3 linked regions of the Diceros bicornis minor genome follow. The protein of the gene in region 1 interacts with the protein of each later gene in a biochemical or structural test. Links are inferred from orthologs where the notes say so. Each region holds a gene or a part of one and is shown in the gene's direction. Other genes may lie near its edges. The genes, in order: EVL, RAD51 and APBB1.

Region 1 (7,549 bases):
AATTAAAAAAATTTTTTAAATAATGTGTGTTTTATTCCCCAAATTACGTTTTGTTCTCAGATTGCTCTTGTGCAAGATCTTCCTGATTCTCCCTTATAACTTCTCTATCAATCCCTCTGTTAGCCGTGCCACCTTCTGACTACTCAACTTGGTAGAACATCACATTGGGGGAATCGCTGCCTTCAAACTTTCCAAGTACCCTAAAATGTCTGCTCACACATTCAGAGGCCCAGGCCTCCTAGCCCCATTGCAGGAGTGAGTTCCCTCAGCCCCACAAAGGCCTGCTGTCAGGGTCTCCAAGGCAGGTCTGAGACAGCCAAGAGGCCAAAGTCATCAGGAAGTTTCTTCCCAAGGGCTGATGGTGAACAGCCCTGATAACTGGGGCTGGGAATGCGGGAGGGAGGTTGGGCTCTCCTAGGTAGGAGCTGGGTGCAACATCCCTTCCCAAAGGCCTGGGGTCTCGTGGGAAAGGGCGTAGGCTCCCCCGGGATCAGCAGCTCTCTCCAGGATTGCTGGCTGGGCTGGCCTGAGGGCTTACTTTTCTTAATTAATTAAGTGGGAACATTAAGATCCTATTAAGTGGGAACACTCAAGTCAGCCTTGGATGCAGGACTTGGCTCCAGACTCCTCCAGAAAGGCAGGCCTGTCCAGCCTGGGTCCTCAGTTCTCCTCCCAATGCAAACAGTGGCATTAAGAAGTTTCCCTCTGCTGGATGGGTACCAAACTGTCCCCAACCCCAATCTGGCCAAGCTTCCCCGCAATTGGTCCAGGTCTTGCGTTACCCTAGCAGGAAGCTGGAGTCATCCCCAGTAGGACCCCCACAGGCCCCTCTCCCAAGTCACCCCCTCCTGAGCCTTCAAAGCCGGTGAAACATAATCTTAAGGAGAGGCGTTTTGAGCGAGGAGCCTGACAGGTGGAGTCAAAGAGAAGCTCCAGCTGTGAACCATCCTCAAGTGTGTGGAAGGCTAAATGGGTCAGAAGCAATTGACATTTCCTGCCAGATGGACCTAGAACACAAGCAGGAGCTTTGGTTTCCAAAATGTAATGCCTGGGCACACAGGCTGGTCCCCAACCCCGCGGGCACTGCCTGGATAAGGACAACACTCCAGCAGGATCTCTTCAGCTCTGTGCTGTAACAAGCTCAGGGACCAAGAGGAATAAACCATGCTCGCTGCCTTCATGAAGTTCACAGTCTAGTGGAGGAACCAGCAAGTAAGAAGACCACCCCAATATGGTACAGTGGGGGTATGATGGGGCCAAGCCAAAAGCCCCAAAGCAGTATGGAGAATGGCACCTGCAGCCCTATGGGAGGGGAGTGCTGATGGTCCCAGGGGAGAAGTGACATGTGGGTGAGGGTTGAAGATGACTTGCCAGGTAAACAGAGGCAGTGGGCTGGGCATGAGAGGAGGCAGAGATGTGTAGGTGCTCAATAAACAGTGAATGAAAGAATGCATGAAAACAAATTGTGTTGTATGTAAGGAAAACAGTTGTTGGTAATAACTGAATTGGTCAGTGAGATTAATGGTGTAAATGAGAATTGTCAAAAAAGGGATGCAGAGTCACAGGTGGTCCCTGAGCCCCCTGAGACATCCGTTGTTGTCTTCACCTGAGTTTCTGGCATGAATTAGTAACTTACTTATGCTGGTTAATATAAACCAGACATGGTCTCATTGGTGAATCATCAAAAGCAACTCTGTTTCTTTTGATTATTTGCGGTGAGTGAGGTTTGTTTTGGCAAAGCCAAGTAATGGGGAATATGGCCCATGGGGCTGGTTCCTCACCAGTGACCCGGGGCTGGAAAAACATCAAGAAACAGGGAGGGAGCATGGGATAACGTGGGCAGTCCTGGGACTTGCAGACTGCAGAAACGTGTTCATCCAGCTCTTCATCCACTCACCTGTGTGACCTCTCTGGGCCTCAGTTTCACCCTCCTCAGGACAAGGCGGTCAGACAAGATACCCTTTGAGAACATCCTAGCTCTATTAAGTGTCTGTGGCTCGATGACTAGCCTGGGCTCAACAGACAGCAGAAACCCCATCTTTCCTGCCTCCCCCATGAATGGGAACCAGTCCAGGAGGGCCTCAGAGCTGACCCGGGGTAGTCAGCCTGGCCACGGGTCCCACACCCACACATATCAGATGTCACAGTCATTGACTTCAAGGAGCAAACTTTTCAAATCCAAGGAATGGTGACCTCCAGAAACAAATCATTTGAGGGCCACAGGTCCAAAAAAATGTTAATTTTCTTTTTATCAGAAGAATGGAAAACATGAATTCATGTACTTTTAAGGAATAAAGTCTTTATTCAGTAGATGGGAAACATGTTAAGTAGACTGGTTTCAAAAGATCCACAGTTAAGGGAAAGGGGAAGGAGAGGCGAGAGGGCGAGCGCTGGAGAAGGGCAGAAAGGCTCTTTCTCAGGAGTTACTCTGTGTTGACCCTCAGCAGTGCCTGCAAGACGGATTCAGGAGTCCGGTCTGTCAGTGAGAAACGGAGGCTGAGAGAGGTCTGCGATGCTTGGTTAAAACCGGGAGCTCTTCCTTCCCAAGCATCCTTGGGCTGTTAGACAAAGACCAATGCCCATTCATGGAGAAGTGGGGCTTAGTTTAGGGCGCAAGTGGCCCCTACCTGTCCTTCCCGGACCTTCTTGCTGCTCTTGAAGCCCTCTGAGGAACAAATATCGGATGCAAGAAACGACCTCTCCAGGAGCCCGACACAGCTGATTTCATGAATTCACGGGGTGATGTTAAACCACTTTCCCTTTCTCAGTGTTCCGTGCCCCCATCCTTTACCTAGAGAAGGATTTGCAGGTCCCTTCCAGCATCAGTATTCTGTGATCCTCCTTAAAGGAACTTGAATGTCTTTGTTGTTCCAGGCGATTGGCAGTTAGCCCGAAAGGTTGATAGCAGGCGTGTGCCCCTCACCTTTGATGCTCGTGTTGTATAACGAATCCACCAACATTTCCCAGCGAACCTTCTTCCAGTTACAAGACAGTAACAACTTGTCAGACTCCAAGGCAGCAGGGAAAAGGCCCAATTTGGAGGTCAGAGTGGGCCACATGCTTCTATAAACCAGGCTGGGAACAAACAGGCTATTGGCTATTGGGGGGTCTTCTCACAGTCAGATATGCACTGACCAGGGGTAACACTGCCTCTGCAGAGCAAAACTGGACGTCTCCAAGTGACCTGGGGCTTGTCTATTTTAGCAATTTTTAGGATCCAATAAGTCTCTTCTGTAGCAAAGAGCCAATCTCGACCCTGGGAATAGAGAGACAAATAAGGTTAGGGAGGCTGAAACCCTCTGGAGCTGCTAACAGGACTAGAGGGGCCCAAGGTGCCTTTTGAGTTTGAAGACTTCTGCTCAAATAGGGGAAGGAAAGTGGCAGTGTGACCACCAGTCTCTGAGGAACTCTGATAACAAGTGGGTGATGAGGGAGGGGACAGGGGACAGGGAGGGGGATAAACCCATAGAGACCCAATCTGCAATGAGTGAGAACGAAGATCAACTGCAGCAAAATCGAATGGAAGGCACTGGCGATTCTGAGTCAGAAAAACCTTGGCTTGAGAGCTGGCTCCACCATTTCCTGCATCTTGGGCAAAACCACGTAACTCACAGAGCCTCCTCTCACTCCGGGCCAGGAGCAAAACAGCCACCCTCCACTACCCTCCTACTGTATGCCAGACACCACAAACGCTTGATATGCTCTTGTTCAGACCCAATGTTTTAAAAGGCAGATGTGATTTCAATGTTGCTGTGACAGAGGGAAAAGGAGCATTAGTGGAGATATTGAAAAAGCACAATGAACGGTGTCTGCTTTAGGAAGGAGGGGGATTTAAGCAGAGAAAACAACTGGACGACCTCGTGTTGTCGAAGTGATTTTTCACAGGCTGTGGTTTTGGGGCGCCAGGTGGGGCTCCTGTTGGGCTGGGGGAGGACCTTTAGGTGCTGATATTGCCCCAAAGCTGCGACTCTCGGTCCCTGCCTTGGCTCTTCATTTACAAAAAGAGGGGTCAGTCGTTGCTGACCCCGACGCCCCTGGGACTGCCCGCTGCGTCTGAGCAAGCGGGGCACACAGCAGGGAAGCAGAAGGGGAAGCTTGGGACCACGGACCAAGGACGCCAGAGCACTAACCAGCCTTTGTCAGTACGTGGGGTACCTCGCGCGGGAAGGGGGCGCAGTGTTCCACGTGCCGGCCCGGCGCCCCGCCCCTTTAGGCCCCGCCCACCCGAGGCCACGCCCCTCACGGGGCCCCCGTCTTTGAAGCCCCGCCCCTCGCAGCTCCGCCCCGCCCCTCACTGCTCGCCCTTCCTGCGAAGCCCCGCCCCTCGGCCCGCCCCGCCCCTCACCGCTCAGCCTTCCCTCGAAGCCCCGCCCCTCGCGGCCCGCCCCGCCCCGCAGCCCCCGGCTCGCCTCTCCCGCAGGCGCGGGCTGTGGGGCCCCGCGCCTTTTGTGTCGGGCTCGGTCCGCCGCGCGCGCTCTCACCTCAGCGCCCGCGGGCTGAGGGACGCACGCGCGCGCACTTCCCTCAGCGGGCGGAGGGACGCACCCTCAGTCTCGCCTCGAGGGCTGAGCTCGCCCGCGCGCGCCCTCCCGCCTCTCCCTCGGCGGACCCCTAGCTGCCCGCGCCCGCCCGGGGGCCGCCGCCCCGAGTCTCGGGCAGACGCGCTCGCCCCCTCCCCTCCCTCCGGCGGCGCGCGCAGACGCCGGTGCGGGCACGCGCCCGCCAAGATGGCAGGGGCCGGGGCCCAGCTGTCAGGCGCCGCCGCCGCCGCCCTTCCCCGCAGCTAGCGGCCCGGACGCCCGCCCCGAGAAGATGAGCCCCCGCAGCCGCCCGCAGCCCAGCGAGACGCGGAGCCGCCGCGCCCGGGGCCGGCTCCCCCGCTAACGCCCCGCGCCGCGCCCCCGGCCCCGCGCGCCCGCCCCGGCAGCGACAATGAGGTGAGTCGGCGGGCGCCGCGCGGAGAGGGGACCGGGCGTCGCAGAGCCCGAGGGCCGGGCGGGCGGCGGCCGGAGCGCGGGGACGGCTCCGGGAGACTCGGGGGGCGCCGCGGACGGTGGGGGGGGTCGGGGGGGCGGCGCCCGGAGGAGGGGGGTGCCGGCCCTTGCCCTTGGCGGGAGGCACTTGTCGGGGCTGCGGGGCCGGGGTTGGGGGAGGCCGACCCCGCGGGCAGGTGTGGCCGCGCCCCGGCCGCGCGGTGGCACACGTTGGCCGCAGCCCCGTTCGGTGCCTTCCAGCCCCGAGGAGGCCGGCCCGAAGCCCCTCCGCCTCCCTCTCCGGGCTGTCCCCCTGGGCGCAGCCTCCCCTCTGCCGGCGCGCAGAGCCTCCTTTCAGCGTCCTTGTAAAGCGGGAGTTTCCTTCCGTCTGCAGCTCTTACTCCCTCTGCTCCCCTTTCTCCCCCCTTTTCTTTTCTTCTTGCACGCCAGTCAAGTGCAAGACCCCAAATGTGCTGCTCGCTGATTTATCACCCAGCCGGGGGGTCTGGCGGTTATCAGGTCAAGAAATACACACCGCCAGCACCCAGGAGCCCGGAATTCCCTCTCTAGAGGTAGCCTAATCCTGACTTCTGGGGGATAATCATTTCCTTGCCTTTTTTGTCTGAAATTTTACCTTCTAAACACATATCTCATAAAAACTATAGTATCTGTCGTTTCATTTTGCCTGTTTTGTGAACTTTATGTAAATGAAATGATACAATATATATTCTTTTGTGTCTGGAGGTTTTTGAGATTCATCCATTCTGTTGTAACTGTTGTTCATTTTGATTGATCTGTAGTATTCCATTGTACGAATGTCCACAATTTATCCGTTCCACTGTTGGTAGACGTTTGAATTGTTTCTAGCTTTTAGCTATTAATAATGCTATTATGAATGTTCTTATATGTCTCCTGGGGCATTCATTTCTGTTGGGAAGATACCTAGCAGTGGAATTTGTAGGTCAAAACATGTGCATATCTTCAACCTTAGTAGATAATGCCAAGTTTCCAAAGTGTTTGTATCAATTTACACTCCTACCAGGAAGTATATGAGAGTTCTTGTGCTCCACATCCTTATCAACACTTGGTATTGTCAGTCTCTAATTTTAGCCATGCTGGTGAGTGTGAAGTGGTGTGCCATCGTGGTTTTAAATTGCAGTTTCTTGTTGACTGATGAGGTTGAACATCTTTTCATGTTTATTTGATACCCTCTTTTATGAAGTGCCTGTTCAGCTGTCTTGCCCAGTTTTCCTTTGGGCTTTACATGTCTTTTTCTTCCTAATTTGTAGTTCTAGTCCAAAGTCAAGAAGATAGTTTCCTATAACGTCTTCTAGAAATCTTACTGTTTTGCCTTTCAAATTAAGATCTGTAGTCCACTTGGGATTGATTTTTGTGGAACTTGTGAAAAAGGGGTCAAGTTTGATTTTTACCAGCACCGTTTATTCAGCACTGTTTATCAAAAAGGTCATCTTTTCCCCATAGTTCTGCAGTGCCACCTTTGTCATCTTCCAGTCTTCTATTTGGGGTCATTATTTTTCTGCCTGAAGAATACCCTTTAGTATTCCTTTAGTGCAGATCAGCTGGTGACAAATTCTTACAGTGTTTTTTTGCAGATGTCATTTATCCTGCATTTTTTTTTAAAAAACAGCTTTATTGAGATATAATTCACAGGCCATAAAATTTAACCATGTAAAGTATACAGTTCAGTGGTTTTTAGTATTTTCACGAGTTATACAGCCGTTACCACAGTCTAATTTTAGAACATGTTTCTCCATTTTTTTTTTTTTTTTTTTTGTGAGGAGATCAGCCCTGAGCTAACATCCGCCAATCCTCCTCTTTTTTTTTTTTTGCTGAGGAAGACGGCCCTGGGCTAACATCTGTGCCTATCTTCCTCCACTTTATATGGGACGCCGCCACAGCATGGCTTACCAAGCAGTGCGTCGGTGCGCGCCCGGGATCCGAACCAGTGAACCCCGGGCCGCCGCAGCGGAGCGCGCGCACTTAACCTCTTGCGCCACCGGGCCGGCCCCCCATGTTTCTCCATTTTTGAAGGGTCTTTTCAGTAGTTACAGAATTCTTGGTTTGCCATTGTTTTCTTTTAGCACTTTAAAGATATCTTATTATCTCTGACTTGGATTGTTTCTGTTGAGAAGTCACTTATCAGTCTGTTGTTCCTTTGAAGGTACAGTCATGAGCCACATAATGATTTTTCGGTCAGTGATGGACTGCATATATGACAGTGGTCCTGTAAGATTAGTACCATATAGCCTAAGTGTGTAGTAGCCCATACCATCTAGGTTTGTGTAAGTACACTCTGTGATATTTGTACAGGGATGAAATCACCTAATGATGCATTTCTTAGAATGTATCCCAGTCATTAAGCAACACATGACTGGTCTTTTTCTCTGGCTGCTTTTAAAATGTTCTCTTTGTCTTTGCTTTTCAGCCATTTTCTATGCTGTTTCTAGTATGGATTTTTTTCCCCCCACTTATACAGGCGTAACTCAGAGATATTGAGGGTCTGGTTCCAGACCACCACAAAAAAGTGAATATCGCAATACAGGGGGTCATACAAA
Region 2 (8,097 bases), on another chromosome or scaffold:
TGGCTTTGAAGATGGAACCAAAGAATGCAGATGCCTCTATTTTTATTTTTTGCTGAGGAAGATTCGCCCTGAGCTAACATCCATTGTCAATCTTCCTCTTTTTTTTTTCCTTGAGGAAGATCAGCCCTGAGCTAACATCTGTGCCCATCTTCCCCCACTTTGTATGTGGGATGCCTCCACAGCATGGCTGATGAGTGGAGTAGGTCCGTGCCCAGGATCTGAACATGTGAACCCAGGCCACCAAAGCAGAGCATGCAGAACTTGAACTACTCAGCCATGGGGCCAGCCCCTGCTGATGTCTCTAGAAACTGGAAAAGGCAAGGAAACAGATTCTCTCCTAGGACCTCTAGAGGGAACATAATTCTGCCAACACCTTGATTTTAGGCCAGTGAAACCCATTTTGGAATTCTGACATCCAGAACTGTAAGATACTACATTTTTGTTGCTTTAAGCCACTAAATTTGTGGTAATTTGTTACAGTAGCAATAGGAAACTTAGACAGTGGGATAACTATTCTGTTCCATTGACCCATCATTTTTGTACAAGTACTTTTTAATTATTGTGGTTTTATAATATGTTTTAATATTTGGCTGGTTCAGGCTCTATTATATCAGGATTTTCCTGGCTCTTCTTGCTTTTTATTTTACCATATAAAGGTGAGAACTAGTTTGTTCAATTCCAAAAAAAAAATCTTGTTGACATTTTACTGAGATCATGTTATACTAGATTTAAAGATAACTAACGGAGAACTGATATGTTTAAGATGCTGACTCTTCCAAAACAAGTAGATAGGATGCTTTTCTGTTTTGTTTCCTTCTTTTCTTTATTTATTTGGTGAGGAAGATTAGCCCTGAGCTAAAATCTGTTGCCAATCCTCCTCTTTTTGCTGAGGAAGATTGGCCCTGGGCTAACATCCGTGGCCATCTTCCTCTACTTTACATGTGGGAGGCCTGACACAGCATGGCTTGGTAAGCGCTGCATAGGTCCGCACCTGGGATCCAAACCAGCGAACCCGAGGCCATCAAAGCGGAGTGCGCCAACTTAACCACTACACCACCAGGCCAGCCCCTTGTGTCCTTCTTTAATATCTCAAAGTTTCCTTCTCACAGGATGTGCACTTTCCTTGTAAGTTTATTCCAAGGCATTTAATATTTTTGTTACCATTTTAAATTATCATCATAAAGTCAAAACAAATTCATACCAAAAATTCAAACAATACATAAAGAATATAGATGAGGTGCTGGCCCAGTGGCCAAGTGGTTAAGTTCACGTGTTCTGCTTCGGTGGCCCAGGGTTTGCCAGTTCGGATCCTGGGCGAGGAACTACTCACCACTCATCAAACCATGCTGAGGCGGCACCCCACATAGAAGAGCTACAACTCTACAACTATGATACACAACTACATACTGGGGCTTTGGGGAGAAAAAAGGAAAAAAGAGGAAGATTGGCAACAGATGTTAGCGCAGGGCCAATCTTCCTCAAAAAAATTAAATTAAAAAAAACTGATACAGATAAAGGCAAAGTCATCCAAAATCTTACGAGTGAGCATCCTTCCACAAACTAGGTTCTCTTAGGCATAAAGAAGGGCAATGACTGTTGGGTAGGCAACCAACAGTGATTGCCACAAAGCCCATTGGGATTTCTATTGGGAATTCTCTGATTTTGGAGAATTTTCAACTTTATAATGTTGAGCCTCCTCTGGGAACACAGTTTCAGAGATTTCTCCATATAGGTCCTGAACATTTCTTTCTTTCTTTTTTTTTTTTTTTTTTGTGAGGAAGATCAGCCCTGAGCTAACATCCATGCCAATCTTCCTCTTTTTGCTGAGGAAGACCGGCCCTGAGCTAACATCTATTGCCCATCCTCCTCATTTTTTTTCCCTTTTTCTCCCCAAAGCCCTAGTAGATAGTTGTATGTCATGGTTGCACATCATTCTAGTTGCTGTATGTGGGACGCTGCCTCAGCATGGCCGGACAAGTGGCACACTGGTGCGCGCCCAGGATCCGAACCCGGGCCGCCAGTAGCGGAGCGTGTGCACTTAACCACTAAGCCGTGGGGCCAGCCCCTGAACATTTCCAAAAGTTTATTCGTAGAAATGGTTTTTGTTACTACTGTGAATGGGATCTTTTTTTCCCTACATTGTCTAATTAGTTATTGTCAGCAGTTAATAAAGCTCTGATCTTTTTGTATTTTGTAATTAGTTACACTAATGTATTCTCTTATTGTCCTTTAAACTATCCAGGTATATAATCATATCTGTAAATTTTTTCCAACATTTACATCTTTTATTATTTTTTATTACTTCATTCTCTTATTATTATACTTAGTGGCACTTCCTGAAAAATAGTAAATAACAGAGGCAATAGACAATTTTGTTCTTGATTTTAATGAAAATGTTTCTAACATGTCACGGTAAGCAGATGACAGCAGCTTGTTTGGGACATCTATTTTTTTCTTGATCCTGTTAGGGAAACATCTAATTCCTTTTTAACTTTTTTGCCCTCTTCAGGAATTTATGTTGAATTTTATTGAATGCATTTTCAATATGATGAAATTAACCACACGGTTTTTCTTCTTGACCTATTAATATGGTCAATTATAATAACAGACTTCCTAATATTTTTTTTTAAAGATTTTTATTTATTTATTTTTTCCCCCCAAAGCCCCAGTAGATAGTTGCATGTCATAGTTGCACATCCTTCTAGTTGCTGTATGTGCTGCACTCGGCCTCGGCACGGCCAGAGAAGCGGTGCCTTGGTGCGTGCCCGGGATCCCAACCCCGGCGGCCAGCAGCGGAGCATGCGCACTTAACCGCTAAGTCACGGGGCCGGCCCCAGACTTCCTAATATTGAATCATCCTTGCACTACTCAAATGGATCACTTGGATGTGACACTGGCTTTCCCTTTCTGTGCTCCAGGCTGACTATGCCAATGAGATTATATATATATATACACATATATATATACATATTTTTTTTTTTTGAGGAATATTCGCCCTGAGCTAACATCTGTTGCCAATCTTCCTCTTTTTCTTTTTTCTCTCCAAAGCCCCAGTACCTAGTTGTATATCCTAGTTGTAGGTCCTTCTAGTTCTGTGTGGGACACTGCCTCGGCATGGCTTGATGAGCAGTGAGTAGGTCCGTGCCCAGGATCGGAACTGGTGAATCCCGGGCTGCTGAGGCAGAACGCGCAAACTTAACCACTAGGGCCCAGAGATTATTATTTTTCTTGAGACAAAAGATTACGTTTCTGCTGATTAAGTTTTGATCTTATTAGAGGTTGTCTCCTTGAGATTTCAGATAGATCACTTAGATTATAATTTAGGATATATCCAAAACTTATCAGTTACACATTTATCAACATTTTCATGGATTGCTAATTTTACTGTCAGCAAAAAATCTAGTTTGTCTTATTTTCAGTTCTTAGCGGGTTATTGGAGGAAAGGAACAGAAAACTACTCAAATTGGTTTAAGTAGAAAAAAATGGAAGGGAGATTTATTGGAATGTAGAGGTATCTCACAGACTTCAAGAGCAGTAAGTGCTGCCAGGCCTCTGAGAAACTGGAAAGGAGATCTGGAAAGCAGTCAGAATTTAAAACTGTTTCTCTCTGTCTCAGACTCTCTCCCAATTTTTCAGTCTCTCAATTTCTTAATCTTTCTGCAGATGGGACTTCTCTGGTTTGACATCTACACAGACACATAAATTTCATTAAAAGGAAAGGTCAAAGTCATACAACATCACTCAGCCAAGAGGAGCTGTGGGTTTGCAGATGCTCTCAGGAGGAGGGTGTGTGAAGAACGGGATGTAAATGTGGGTATCTTTGGTATGGAAAGCAATTCACTATTATCCCCAGGTACTATATGTAATCACTAAGTTAGGGTGATTCTACCTCCAGAATGCTTTTTGAACTTGTTCTTTCTGGCATTGCTCTAATTCAAGCCTTCATCTCTTGCCTGAAATATTGCCAAGAGCTTCCTGACAGTTTTTGCTGTCTTGACTCTCACTCTCCCGAAATCTATCCTTCATTGCCACGTGATAATGGTGTGAGGATTAAATAAAAACTTTATGAACTTTGAAGCACTCCACAAATATAAAGTATTGGTGGAGAAAAAAGTAGATCTAACCACATGACTCGTCTGCTTAAAAATTTTCAATGATTTCCCCATTACCTAAATAAAGACAAAGCTCCATACTTGGTCTTAAGCCTCTTCATAGCCTGAACTAAACGTAACTTTCCAGTCTCAGCACCTCTTACGACACTTTTCCTCCCTCATCAGACAATACTATTCCTTGACCATGTCGTTAATGTCCATGCCCACACTGCTCTGTTTATGTCTTCTCTCTCTTCCTCGCCTGGGAAACCCTATTGACTCTTTAAAATCGGAATCACAGGTCAAACTTTCTAGTAAACCATAAGGTTTACCCTCTCACAATCAATGCCTCTTTCCTCTGGAGTCCTGCAAATCTTCAGTAATGTACCACAGCTTGACTAATACTTCAGCCATTTCTTTCTTCCCTCCACTAGCTCTATTTCCCAGTTTAATCCATCTGCTCGAGTGTCCTCAGCTCCACCGCCTGCAGGGGCCTGGAAAGCGCCCGGCTCTGACAATTTGACTGAACCGGAGGCTCACAGCTATCTGAAGTGCCAAAAGCTCACGTTTAGAAACTTCAGAAGCAAATCAACAACAGCTCTCCAGAGCCACGCTATTTCCCAGGAGGGCTAAGGAACTACAGTCGCGGCGTCCGCCGGCGGTGCATACTGGGAGATGTAATCTCGGGCCAACCCCACTACCTCTTGGGAGTTGTAGTCCTCGATCTGGTAAGGAGAAGAAAGCTGCAACTCCCAAATTTTGAATTAGCCCTTAGGAGGAAAAGGAAGAGGGCAATCCATAATACCATGCAAGGTCAAGTTCCGTTGACCCATCTCTTAAGCTCGCGAGCAGTGGCTGAAGGGGCTAGAAGGCGGATCCGAGAAGGCCGGGGAGACGTTACGTTGACGCGGGCGTGACCCTGCCAGAGGTTTGGCGGGTTTTCCGAAAGCTGCCGGACGGCGCGCGCGCTGAGGGCTGAGGAGAGGTGAGACGGGCTCCGGGGCGCGTAGTCGGGAGCTGAAGCTCACCTGGGTTGTGTGCAGGGGCCAGAGCAAGGGAGTAGAGAAGTGAGGCGCAAGCGAGGGGGTCTGGAGTCCGTCCGGGGTCGAGCGCGCCCGAGCCAGCGGAGGGAAGTCGGAGCGCGCAGCCCGCCCGGGAGAGTAGCGAGCGCCGCAAGCCAAGGTGAGTGTGTAAGGCGCAGACCGGGCCCCTTTCCACCGCCGGGCTCGTCCCTGCGTTAGCCGGACCGGGCCCCGGGCCCTTGCTCCCCCGGCCGGCTTATGGGGCCCCTCTGCGCCGAGAAGCTCCAAGATGGCGGGGCGGAGCTGGGGCGTGCCCGGGCACATCGACCTTCGGACCTCGTTGTGGCAAAACAGCAGCGGACCCCAGTCTTTAGAGGTGGAAGCAACCTTAGACGGCTTCCTTTCCAACCCCTGCTTTATGGGCGTCGGCGAGGAAGCCAAGATCCGGGGAGGTGTGGTGACTTAAAGTCACAGCTGTTTCATGTCGGGGCCAGGGTTTCCGGATTTCTGGTCAGTCTTCTTTCCATTACACCGTGTTTTGCTTACAAAGTACCAAACTCCAATTGCCAAAGGGAAATTTTCGTTATCTAATGCGGAAGACCTTTTAGTGATGCCTAAGGAACGATCTGTAGTGAGGTTTGTTTTTTTTTAAACTTCTAAAGTGAAGTGTAATATGTATGTGGAAAAGTGCACAAATCAAAAGTGTACACAGCTCCATGAATTATTAACAAAATGAATATACCTGTGTAATCACCACTCAGGTAAAGAAGTAGAACGCTGTCAGCCCTGCAGAAGCCCCGCTTGTGCCCCCTTGTCTAATACTCTCCCCGCTTCTCCCCAAAGGTAACCACTATATTGACTTCTAACACCCTTGACTAATTTTGCCTGTTTTTGAATTTTGTATAAGTAATACTGTATATTTATATTTTTGTGTCTGGCTTTGCTCAACATTCTGTCTGTAGATTCATACGTCTTTGCATATAGCAGTAATTCTTTTTCGTTGTTATATTGTATTCCTTATTCATTCTACCCATGGTAGACATTTGGGTTGTTTTTAGTTTTTGGCTTTTATGAGAAAGGCTGCTGAGAACATTTCTGTATACATTTTGGTGCACATGTGTGTGCTTTTCAGTGGCTAATAATACAGAGTAGTGAAATTCTTGGGTCATAGCATTTGTCTATCTTCAGCTTTCACATTGAATACTACTTTTCCAAAGGTGTACCAGTTTACACTCAAACCAGCAGTGTTTGAGTGTTTAGTTGTTCCACATGATTGCTAACACTTGATATTGTCAATCTTTTTAATTTTAGCTATTCTGGTAGGTATATAGTTGTATCTTGTGGTTTTAGTATTTAATTTCCCTGATTCTTAATGAGGTTAAACATTTGTTCATATGTTTGTTGGGCCATTTGACTATCTTCTGTTGTGAAGGCCTTGTTCACATCCATTGCCTGTTTTTCTCTTGGGTTGCCTGTCTTGCTGATTTGAAGGAATTCTTTATATATTCTGGTTATCAGCCCCTGGTGTATATATGTGGTAAATATTTTCTCCGCTCACTATAGTTTGACTTCATTCCCTTCATGGTGTCTTTTAATGGATAGAAGTTCTAAATAAAAGTATAGTCTAGTTTTTCAGTCTTTTCGTTTTTGGTTATTGCTTTACGTATCTAGTTTAAGAAGTCTTTCTCTGTCCCAAAGTTGTGAAGATATTTGTCTATATTCTAAAAGCTTTGTTTTTCCCATTACACTTAGATCTATAATCTACATTGGAAATTGATTATTTTTCTGTGGTATGAGATAGAGATCAAGTTTATTTTATTCTATAAGGCTATCCAATCAATCCAGTACTATTAATTGAAAAGACCATCCTTTCCCCATTACTCTGCAGTGCCATCTTTTCCGTAAATTATGAAGGGAGACATTTAAATTTAAATTATGTTCAGCTGATTCGATATTTGGACTTATCATAGACTCACATTATGCTAAATCTGCCATCTACGAGATCTGTATCTGTACCAATCAAGAACAAATGGTCATGTCAAGTCTCTAAGAATGGAGATTTCATACCTGTTATCTTTTTTTTTTTTTTGTGAGGAAGATCAGCCCTGAGCTAACATCCATGCTAATCCTCCTTTTTGCTGAGGAAGACCGGCTCTGAGCTAACATCTATTGCCAATCCTCCTCCTTTTTTTTTCCCCCAAAGCCCCAGTAGATAGTTGTATGTCATAGTTGTACATCCTTCTAGTTGCTGTATGTGGGACGCGGCCTCAGCATGGCCAGAGAAGCAGTGCGTCGGTGCGCGCCCGGGATCCGAACCCGGGCTGCCAGTAGCGGAGCGCGCGCACTTAACCGCTAAGCCACGGGGCCAGCCCAATATCTGTTATCTTTTGAGTTAAATTTATCCTGATTGTTAAATTGTCCAGGTTGTTTTGGTGTGATTTAAGTCCATTTATTCTGTGGACATCAAGGCTTGTTCGCTTTTACTAATACCTCCTGAAAATAATTAAAAAATTTTTTTGTTCTCAGTTCTTCTTTTCAACCTGAGCAATCTTAACTCTATCATAATAACCTGACTTGAGCTTTGGGCCTTACGCTCATCTGGAATATTTCAGACTGAGCAGGGTACTTGCATGTTATTTATTCATTTGTGCATTCATTGAGGTCTGTAATTGATTAATATGGTGATCTTTAAATTTCATACACTCCTATCAGAAGCAAAATGTGTGACTACAAGCTATGATTCTTGCCTAAGATGAGAAGTGCCTTTCTCATCCCAGTCCATTGTTTCTGTCAGAAATGGAGGCTTATGGGCAGTCATTATGTACCTTCATTTCACTCCTGTCCCACCACCACCCCCAAACCCCGCTTGCTGGAAGGGAACAATGGAACTGAAGCAGTTTAATCTTTCATCATTTTTTTTTTTTTTAATTTTAAGTAGAGTCTCAGAAAGTCTGCATTCATTTACCAAATATTTACCAAACACT
Region 3 (8,027 bases), on another chromosome or scaffold:
CAGATTTGAGAAACAGCCTCTCTGAGCTTTGTGTGTGGTATATGTGTGTGTACAAGCACTGTGTATGCAAAATAGGAGAGTGTATTGTACCAATCACTGTTCAATAAGGATATAGAAATCACTCTAGATATAAGCAGAGAAGGATTTAATGCAAAGAATTTGTTACAAAGTTGTGGGGGAGGTCTGGAGAAGCATAAGAGGGAAAGCAGGGTTACCCAGAGATCAGGAAACTACCGCTAATCTTGGGTTAGAGGAGCAAAAGGGAGAAAAAGTACTGCCCAAAGATCAAGGAGCTGGAACCTACAAATCTGTACTCACTTGCTGATGCGGCTGGAGTTTGTACTGCTGATGCTACTGGAACCGCCCCCACTTCTGCTAGGCAGGAACCACTGCTGCTGACGTTGCCAGAGGCACTGCTAAAAGCAGAAGGGCTTCTCCCTTCCTCCCATCTTCCTCACTCGAGGGTTCCCATTGGCAGAACCTAACTGGAGCGAAGTGACAAAGGAACCTGAGAAATGTGGTTTTCAGCTTTCCAGTGCTGTGGGTGCAGGGGAGATTACAGAAGAGTGGATGTGGGGATAAGTACCAACAGGCAATATCTGCCACACATATTCATCATAACTTGTGGCTGCAAGTGATAAAACCCACTCAAAGTGGTGTAAGGAAAAAAGGAAATTTATTGACTCATGTGACTTCAGGCAGAGGTTAATATAGCTGTTAAATTGATGTTATTAGGCATCTCTCTCTCTCCATCCTTTAGCTCTGCTTTCTTTGACTTGGCTTCATTCTCAGGCAGGCTCAACCTTCCTGGTGGCAAGATGTCCACCAGGCTTACATTCTACCAGCACCTTTTACCCAACAGTTGCAGGAAAATTCCTGGATCTGATTTTCACTGGCTCAAATTTAGTCATGTGACCATCTTTGACTTGATCACATTGACCTGATCATGGGTTAGGAGCCCAACACTGAAGTGTGTTGTGGGGCTGGAATGATTCCCATCTGAAGCACACAGACTTAGAGTGGGGAGAGGATGGGTCTTCAAAGAAAACTGATGTGCTGTGACCAATAAAAGGGGGAATGGATGCTGCACAGATAACAACAACAAAGGTAACAACAACATGTTCATGACAAGATAATACTTACCTTGTAAAGTTTTTCTTGTTCTCTATCCAACCCTCCTTCCCTTCCTCAGCTAAAGACTTTGAAAATATTGATATCACTAGGCATGAAATACCTCAACCTCTTGCCTGCTCCCATCTTATTAATTACCCTACATATATCCTTGTCATCACCCCTACCCCTGCAGTCTATAAAGTCAAGGTGTATAATTCTTCTACATGAGCCCTTGATCCCACCTCCTCTCATCACCTCCTGGATCTCACCGCATCTCTCATCTTCTTTTTTCTTTACTTTCAAATCCATCTTCTCTACTGGTATCTTTTTGTAGCTTATACCCATGTCCAATTCTCCACCATCTTAAAAAAAAGACAAAACCAGAATCTTTAACTTCATATCACTTTTCAGGTACCATCTATTCTTTCTTCCAAATTTCTCAAAAGAGGGTTCTGCACTTACTTATTCTACATCCTCATTTTCATTTGCTCAATTCATTGCATTGCGGCTTCTGCCTCCATTTTCTGCTGATATAGATCATATCATGGGGATCCATGACCTCCATGTTGCCAAATTCAAAGGATAGTTTCTTGCGTTGACCTTATTAGAAATCTTTGCTGCATTTGATGCTGTGGATCAGTTCGTCCTCCTTGAAAGTCTTTCCTCCCTTGGATTTCTTCCATGACATTACTCTCTCCTAATTCTTCTCTTACTCTCTATTTCTTCTCAGCTTCATTCTTGGCCTTCTTTTCCTCTGCTGGCTCCCCAAATGCCGGCATTCCCAGAGTTCAGTCCTTAGTCCTTTTCTCTTCTCACCCTATACGCTCTTCCTGGGAATGGATTAGAATAGTCCTGCTGAAGAAGGGTGTTGAGGAATTCCTTGCCAGGCCTACCATCTGACTTATGAACTCCTTATATTATGTGGGAAGTTTTTACTCCTTATGGATTTTCTGAATGATAACAACCACCCAGAAGAATGAGGGTTTATTAGATCAACTACAAGAAAAGTTACAATATCAAAGCAATTCTTATATGTAGTGGTAGAAAAGGCTGCCTTTGCTCCATTAAGTGTCTTTGCTATTCTTCCATATAGGCGAGTTAGGTGCCAACTGCCTGGTAATGCTAATTGGCTGGTCTATTAAACCAAACAGCATAAATCCAGTACTCTTGGTAAGTGATTCATGATTTTCCTGATAGGTCCAAGGTAATAATTTTAAAAGACTGCTGCCTCAGAGGGCCCCACATTGGTCAGAACCACACACAGCACCCGAGGTGATTCATAGGCTATTGGTTGCTCCTAGGCCATGGAGAGCACCAGAAGGGGGAAGAGATACAATAGAGAAAGGATGGATGGATAGCACAGGTTCACTCCCCTTTAATCAGGACGCTTTGTACCCAGGAGGAGATTAGGGATTCAGGAAGACTGTGTGTGGGTCAAACTGCACTGTGTGTGAACTGTACATTTTCCTTTTTGCATTTTAATTAAACTAGCTAATTAAACTCCTCTCCTTACCCTCACCATCCTATCTGTGTGCCTCTGGTTACCTGAAAAGATTTCCCTGGATATTGCAGCCATCCTGCTCAATGGGGTTGGGAAGATAAGTATTCTGGTGGGCTGTTTGAAAATGGGTGATATTTCTGGATTTTTTCATTTATTGAAGCAGAAACCTGGAAGTAATCCTTTTATTTAGCCAATCAATCAATAGACCACTAATTTCTGTGAATTCCACCTCCTGAATATTCACTAAACCTGTGCAATTTTCTCCATCCCTACTCCTACCACTATAATCATCTCCCACCTAGACTACATCAGTTACTTACTAACTGGTCCCCACAGTGCCAATTTTGCTCTCCTCCTGTCTATTCTCCACTTAGCAGCCAGAAGTGATTTTCTAAAATGCAAGGGTGAACATGCCATTCCCCTGCCTCAAATTCTTTGATAATTTTCCATTCCCCTTAAAATAAAGTCCCAAACTCTTAGCCTAACATACAAGGTCCTCCTTGATTTGGCACCTACCCACCTTTCCAGCTCATCTTATGCCATTCTTCTCCACCATCATACGCATACTGGCCTTCTTGTGTTTCTCCCTTGACTTGGAATAATTTTCTCTTTTCTTGGCTGACCTCTATCTCATTCATCCCTTCCCCTCACGTAAGTGCCACTTCCCTATGAAAGCCTTCCCAAACCTTCTCAGGCCAAATTTAATCCACCCACATAGCATCCTGCACATCTCCTTCAAGATACTCATCACATTTCTAATCACATGTTTAATGTCTCTTTCCCCTGTTATTTGAGCTTCATGGAGGCAGGGACTGAATCTTTTTTTTTTTTTTTTTTTAATTTTAATTGACTTTATTTATTTATCTTTTGTGAGGAAGATCAGCCCTGAGTTAACATCCATGCCAATCCTTCTTCTTTTTGCTGAGGAAGACTGGCCCTGGCCTAACATCTGTGCCTATCTTCCTCCCCTTTATATGGGACACCACCACAGCATGGCCTGACAGGTGGTGCCTCACTGGGTGCTTGGGATCCAGACTCAGGCCACCAGCAGCAGAGCGCACGCAATGAACTGCTACGCCACGGGGCTGGCCCTGAATCTTGTTTCTTTACATGTTCCTAGCACCAAGGATAGTGCCTCACACCTAATAATTATTTGTTGAAAGAGAATGAATGAATGAGGACAGCTTTCCTCTTCTGGGTAACTCTTACTCATCTTTCAAGGACCCAGGTCAGATGTTATTTCCTCCAGGTTGGGTTACAGTCAAATCTGATTCATCTTTGGATCCCTAGAGCCAAGCTTGGGACCTGGAACACGGTTCATATATCACAGATGTTTGTCAAATCATAATAAACTCTTGGCCAGGAGTTGATAATTGTTGAAACTGAGTGATGGGTATATGAAGGTTCATTATACTGTTCTGTCTCCTTTTGTACATATTTGAAAATTTCCATAATAAAAAGTTAAAACATTTATATTCACCTCAAGTCGAGTGAAAGTGTGTGGTCAAAGATGATCTTGAAGCCTATGGCTTGGGCAAACCAGTAGATGGTGGTGCCATTTACTGGGATGGATGAAGTGGAGCTGCATTCAGTCGTGTGTGTGCATGCACATGCGCCTGTGCGCATGTTGGGGAGGGTTCTTTTCCACCCCAGTGAAACTTCTTAGAAGGTCAATAAAGGGATGAGATAATTTAAATTTGGACACCTTTAGTTTTAGGTCTCTTGAGGGTATCTCCTGTCAGTTGCTCAACAGTTAGCAGGTACAATAAATGAAAACCTCTGCCTTAGAGGAATGAGCCATGAGAAGGTTTCTGGATGGTAACATTCCCCCTTCATTATCTTTGATGGCCTCTGGGCTCTGATCTGACTGACCACTGGGAACTATCCCACTATCCAGGGAGTCTGCAGTAAATATTGTGCCCCACCATCCCCTCCTTCACACTTTTCATCTACCTTCTCGTCTTCTTTCTTCTCTCTTGTTAATTTCTACTGGGGAGGATTTGTTCTCGACATCTGGGAGGCCTCCCTTTATGTTCAGCAGCAGGGGTCGGGTGTTAGGAAACATCTAGGTTCCAGTCTGATTTCACTTACTTGTGACTGCAGGCAACTCACTTTACCTTTCTGAATCTCAGCATCTGCCTCTGAAAAATGAGGATAATAATAGCCAGCTTCCCAGGGCTCATGTGAGGACGAATGCATGTAAGAGGTTTAACACACAGCCCGGCACAGTGTAAGCGGTCAATAAACACGAGCTATTATTATCACCAGCGCTGCGTCCTCATTGCCTCTCCACCAGGACGTCAGGGAGCTTGCCGCAAGAGCGGGGCAGGCTGCCTCCTCGGAGCCCCTCACCGCGCGGCCACGGCCCCGGGCACGGCCACCGCCGCTCCCGCTCCAACCTCGTCGGAGCGTCGCCCCGCGGGGGTGCGGGGCCAGGGCCCTGCGGGGCGCGGGGTGAGTCCGTGGCCTCGTGGAGGAGGGCGGTGCCAGCCTGGGCACGGGTCGGCGGAGGCTGGGCAGCGCTCTGGGACCCGGGGAACCGCGGCTGGATGGGGGGTGTTGGGCCGTGGGGCTCACCGCGGCCGAGGGTCCTGTAGGGTGGAGCCCTCTGGGAAGCGGCAGCTAATGCACCCCCGAGGGGCTCTCGCTCGTGGCCCGCGCCCGGCCCAAGATGGCGCCCCTCCCCCTCCCCCTCCCCCCGCCCCGCGCGCGCCCCCGCCGCTCCGGGCGCGGCCCCGCGGCCCGCGCGCTCCTGGGCGGGGGATGTTGTGATGGAGAAGCCGCCGCGGAGTCGGAGCCCCGCAGCCTGAGCCACCTCCGCCACCAGGGCCTGGGGCCTCCCCGCGCAGGTAGGAGCTGCCCCAGCCTGGGTCCAGCCACCGCGGCCGGATCCCGACCCCCAGCGGCCAGTAGACCCCGCAGTCCCTTCCCCGCGGCCGACCGGGTCCCCTGGCCAGGCCCGATCCCCGCGAGCGGCCCTCCCACCGCGCGCATTCCGACCCCGGTCCTGTCCCCCCTTGTAGGCTCCACCTCGGCCCTCACACCCTCCCCTCCCCGACCTTTACCTCCTGCTCCTCTGGGATGAATAGGGGGCGAGTATAAGGGACGCAAAGCGAGGGGCAGTGGGGGATGGGGGACGGAGGATGGAGGAGGGGAGGTCAAGGGCTGGCAAGGGGACGTGGGGTGAGGTAGACAGAGACCGCACGGATTCCTGCAGGGTCCCAGGCCTGGGGTCTGTCAAGCCGCATTCTGTTGCCCTCAGCGACCAAGGGGTGTGCCCTGGGGCCGGCTGTGTCCCCAGCTAAGCCGGGAGGCCTAGCACTCGGAGGAGACTCTTGAGGAGCAGTTTTCCCATTGCCAATTCAGAGGTGATTCCCAACCTATTTTGAATCTGCCTGTGCATTTCTTGCATTCCCAGCCTCTCCTGCATAGTCCTGGCTCTCTCCACTCTTCAAAGCCAAAACCTTGTCTACACTTACCCTTCATTTCCTCACTTCCCATTCATTCTTAAAACCACTTCATTCAGTCTTCTGTCTCTGACACCCACGGAAACTGCTCAAGCCAGGGTTACCGGAGACCTCCATGTGGCCAGTTCCAGTGGACACTTTCCTGGTATCCCCCGTTACCTTTCTGCAGTATTCAGTGGTGGTGTCAACTCTCCTTGAAGCATTTTTCTGGCTTCTCTCCTGTGGCATTGTCCACTCCATCTCAGTCTCATTTGCTCTCTCCTTCCTCTCCCTTTAGATGTTGGTGAGGCTCTTGATTCTGTCCTGAGCTGTCATCTCTCATTCGGCACTTTCTCTTTGGGTATTTTATTCACTCCCAAGGCTTCAAATTTTGTATATGTTTATATCCAAATTTGTATATCTGGTCCAGACCTCTTTCCTGAACTCCAGACTCAATATCCAGCTGTCCTCATGACATCCCTTTGGAAGTCCAGCAGGAACTCCAGACCCACAGATCCCAAGCTGAATTGGTTTCCCTCTGTCCCCTGTCTACCCTTCTTCCAAATCCGTGTTTCCTTCAACTCTCAGAAATGGCTACTTTCCAAGCGGTAACCCAAGCTGGAATCCTGGGCAACATTCTAGATTAACCTCTCTCCCTCACTCTCTACCTCTGATGTCACCAAGTTCTGTCACATCTACTACCAGAATAGTTTTCAGATCCATTCATTTCAGCCGTCTCCACTGCTACCAAACTGAATTTGGGCCACAATCCTTTTTGTCCTTGACTGCTCTAACAGCATACCCTCTTGCCTTTCTCCTGTTAACTACTCTCGACATAGTGTGATCCTTTAAAAAATGCATCTATCTGATCATCTATTCATTCAACAAATATGCTCTGAGTACCTAATATATACCAGGTACTGTGGTAGGCACTAAAGATATAATTATGAGCAAAACAGACTGGATTCTTGTCCCCAGGGAGCTGACAAACTAGGGGGGAAATCAGATAAGAATAAAATTATAGATATAATAAATACCATGAAGGAAAGGTGGACAGTGCCTTGTAAATACACAAGAACACAAGCTGAACTGGTCTAGGGGACAAGGAGAGAGCTACAAGGAAAGTTTCTCTGAGCATATGACATTTGAACTAAGATGTAAGAGATGAGTAGGGGTTGGTTAGGCTGAGAGAGTAGGGGAAGGAGGTTCCAGGCATAAATCACATGCAAACACTTTGTGGAAGGAGAGAGTACTTTGTCTTCGAGGAGTCAAAAGAAGGCCAGTGAGACTGGAGAGCAGAATGCCAAAGCTAGAGAGGAAGGTAGGGGCCAGGCTGAGCAGGACAGTTTAGGCCATGTTAAGAATTTTGGTCTTAGGGTCTTTGTCCTTGATGTGGATTGTTGATGATAGTGGGTGGGGAGAGTAGATCAAGTCCAGAAATTTTTCTCAGCAAGAAAATTGTCAATACCTGGAGATGGATCAAATATGGCGAGTGAGGGAGAAGATAATGTCAAGCATGGTACCTCTACTTCTGGTTTGCACAACAGGATGGATGGTCATATCATTCCACAAACCAGGATCCTGAAAGAGGACCAGTTAGGGTGTGGGAGAGAGAAACATGAGTGGGCATGTTAGTTTGAGAGGGCTTTGAGACATCCAGGTAAAGATGTTGAGGAGAAAGTTGTATGTACATGTGTGGAGCTCAGATGAGCGGTCAGAAATGGAGATGTAAATTTGGAAATCATCAGTGTATAGGTGGTAACTGAAGCTATGAGCATGAATGAATACCTATATTGAATATCAGGTAAGAAAGAGAAAAGAACATAAGAACAAGCTGTGAGAAACTCCAGTGTATAGTGGCTGGTAGAGGAAGATGAGCCAGCAAAGGAGTCTAAGAAACCACCAGGCAGTAACTACAGTGTAGGAAGAAAACCAGGAGATGTAGCATGTGGAAGCCATGGATGAAA

What was found.
Region 2: the proteins of EVL (region 1) and RAD51 form a complex in vitro, tested with the Homo sapiens proteins (2 studies listed by BioGRID and IntAct). The link is inferred for Diceros bicornis minor from reciprocal best matches to the Homo sapiens genes EVL and RAD51.
Region 3: the proteins of EVL (region 1) and APBB1 form a complex in vitro, tested with the Homo sapiens proteins (2 studies listed by BioGRID). The link is inferred for Diceros bicornis minor from reciprocal best matches to the Homo sapiens genes EVL and APBB1.

Annotation. Positions count from the first base shown.
Region 1 is NC_080763.1:45,031,143-45,038,691, forward strand, and holds the start of EVL (ena/VASP-like protein), read left to right. Parts: upstream 1-4,496; 5' UTR 4,497-4,932; coding exon of another isoform or gene 4,933-4,937; intron 4,938-7,549. UniProt on the Homo sapiens protein: Ena/VASP proteins are actin-associated proteins involved in a range of processes dependent on cytoskeleton remodeling and cell polarity such as axon guidance and lamellipodial and filopodial dynamics in migrating cells.
Region 2 is NC_080744.1:38,525,316-38,533,412, forward strand, and holds the start of RAD51 (DNA repair protein RAD51 homolog 1), read left to right. Parts: upstream 1-5,026; 5' UTR 5,027-5,076; exon of another isoform or gene 5,077-5,273; intron 5,274-5,874; exon of another isoform or gene 5,875-5,956; intron 5,957-8,097.
Region 3 is NC_080746.1:64,493,679-64,501,705, reverse strand, and holds the start of APBB1 (amyloid beta precursor protein binding family B member 1), read left to right. Parts: upstream 1-5,007; 5' UTR 5,008-5,068; intron 5,069-5,326; exon of another isoform or gene 5,327-5,463; intron 5,464-5,895; exon of another isoform or gene 5,896-5,982; intron 5,983-8,027. UniProt on the Homo sapiens protein: Transcription coregulator that can have both coactivator and corepressor functions. Adapter protein that forms a transcriptionally active complex with the gamma-secretase-derived amyloid precursor protein (APP) intracellular domain.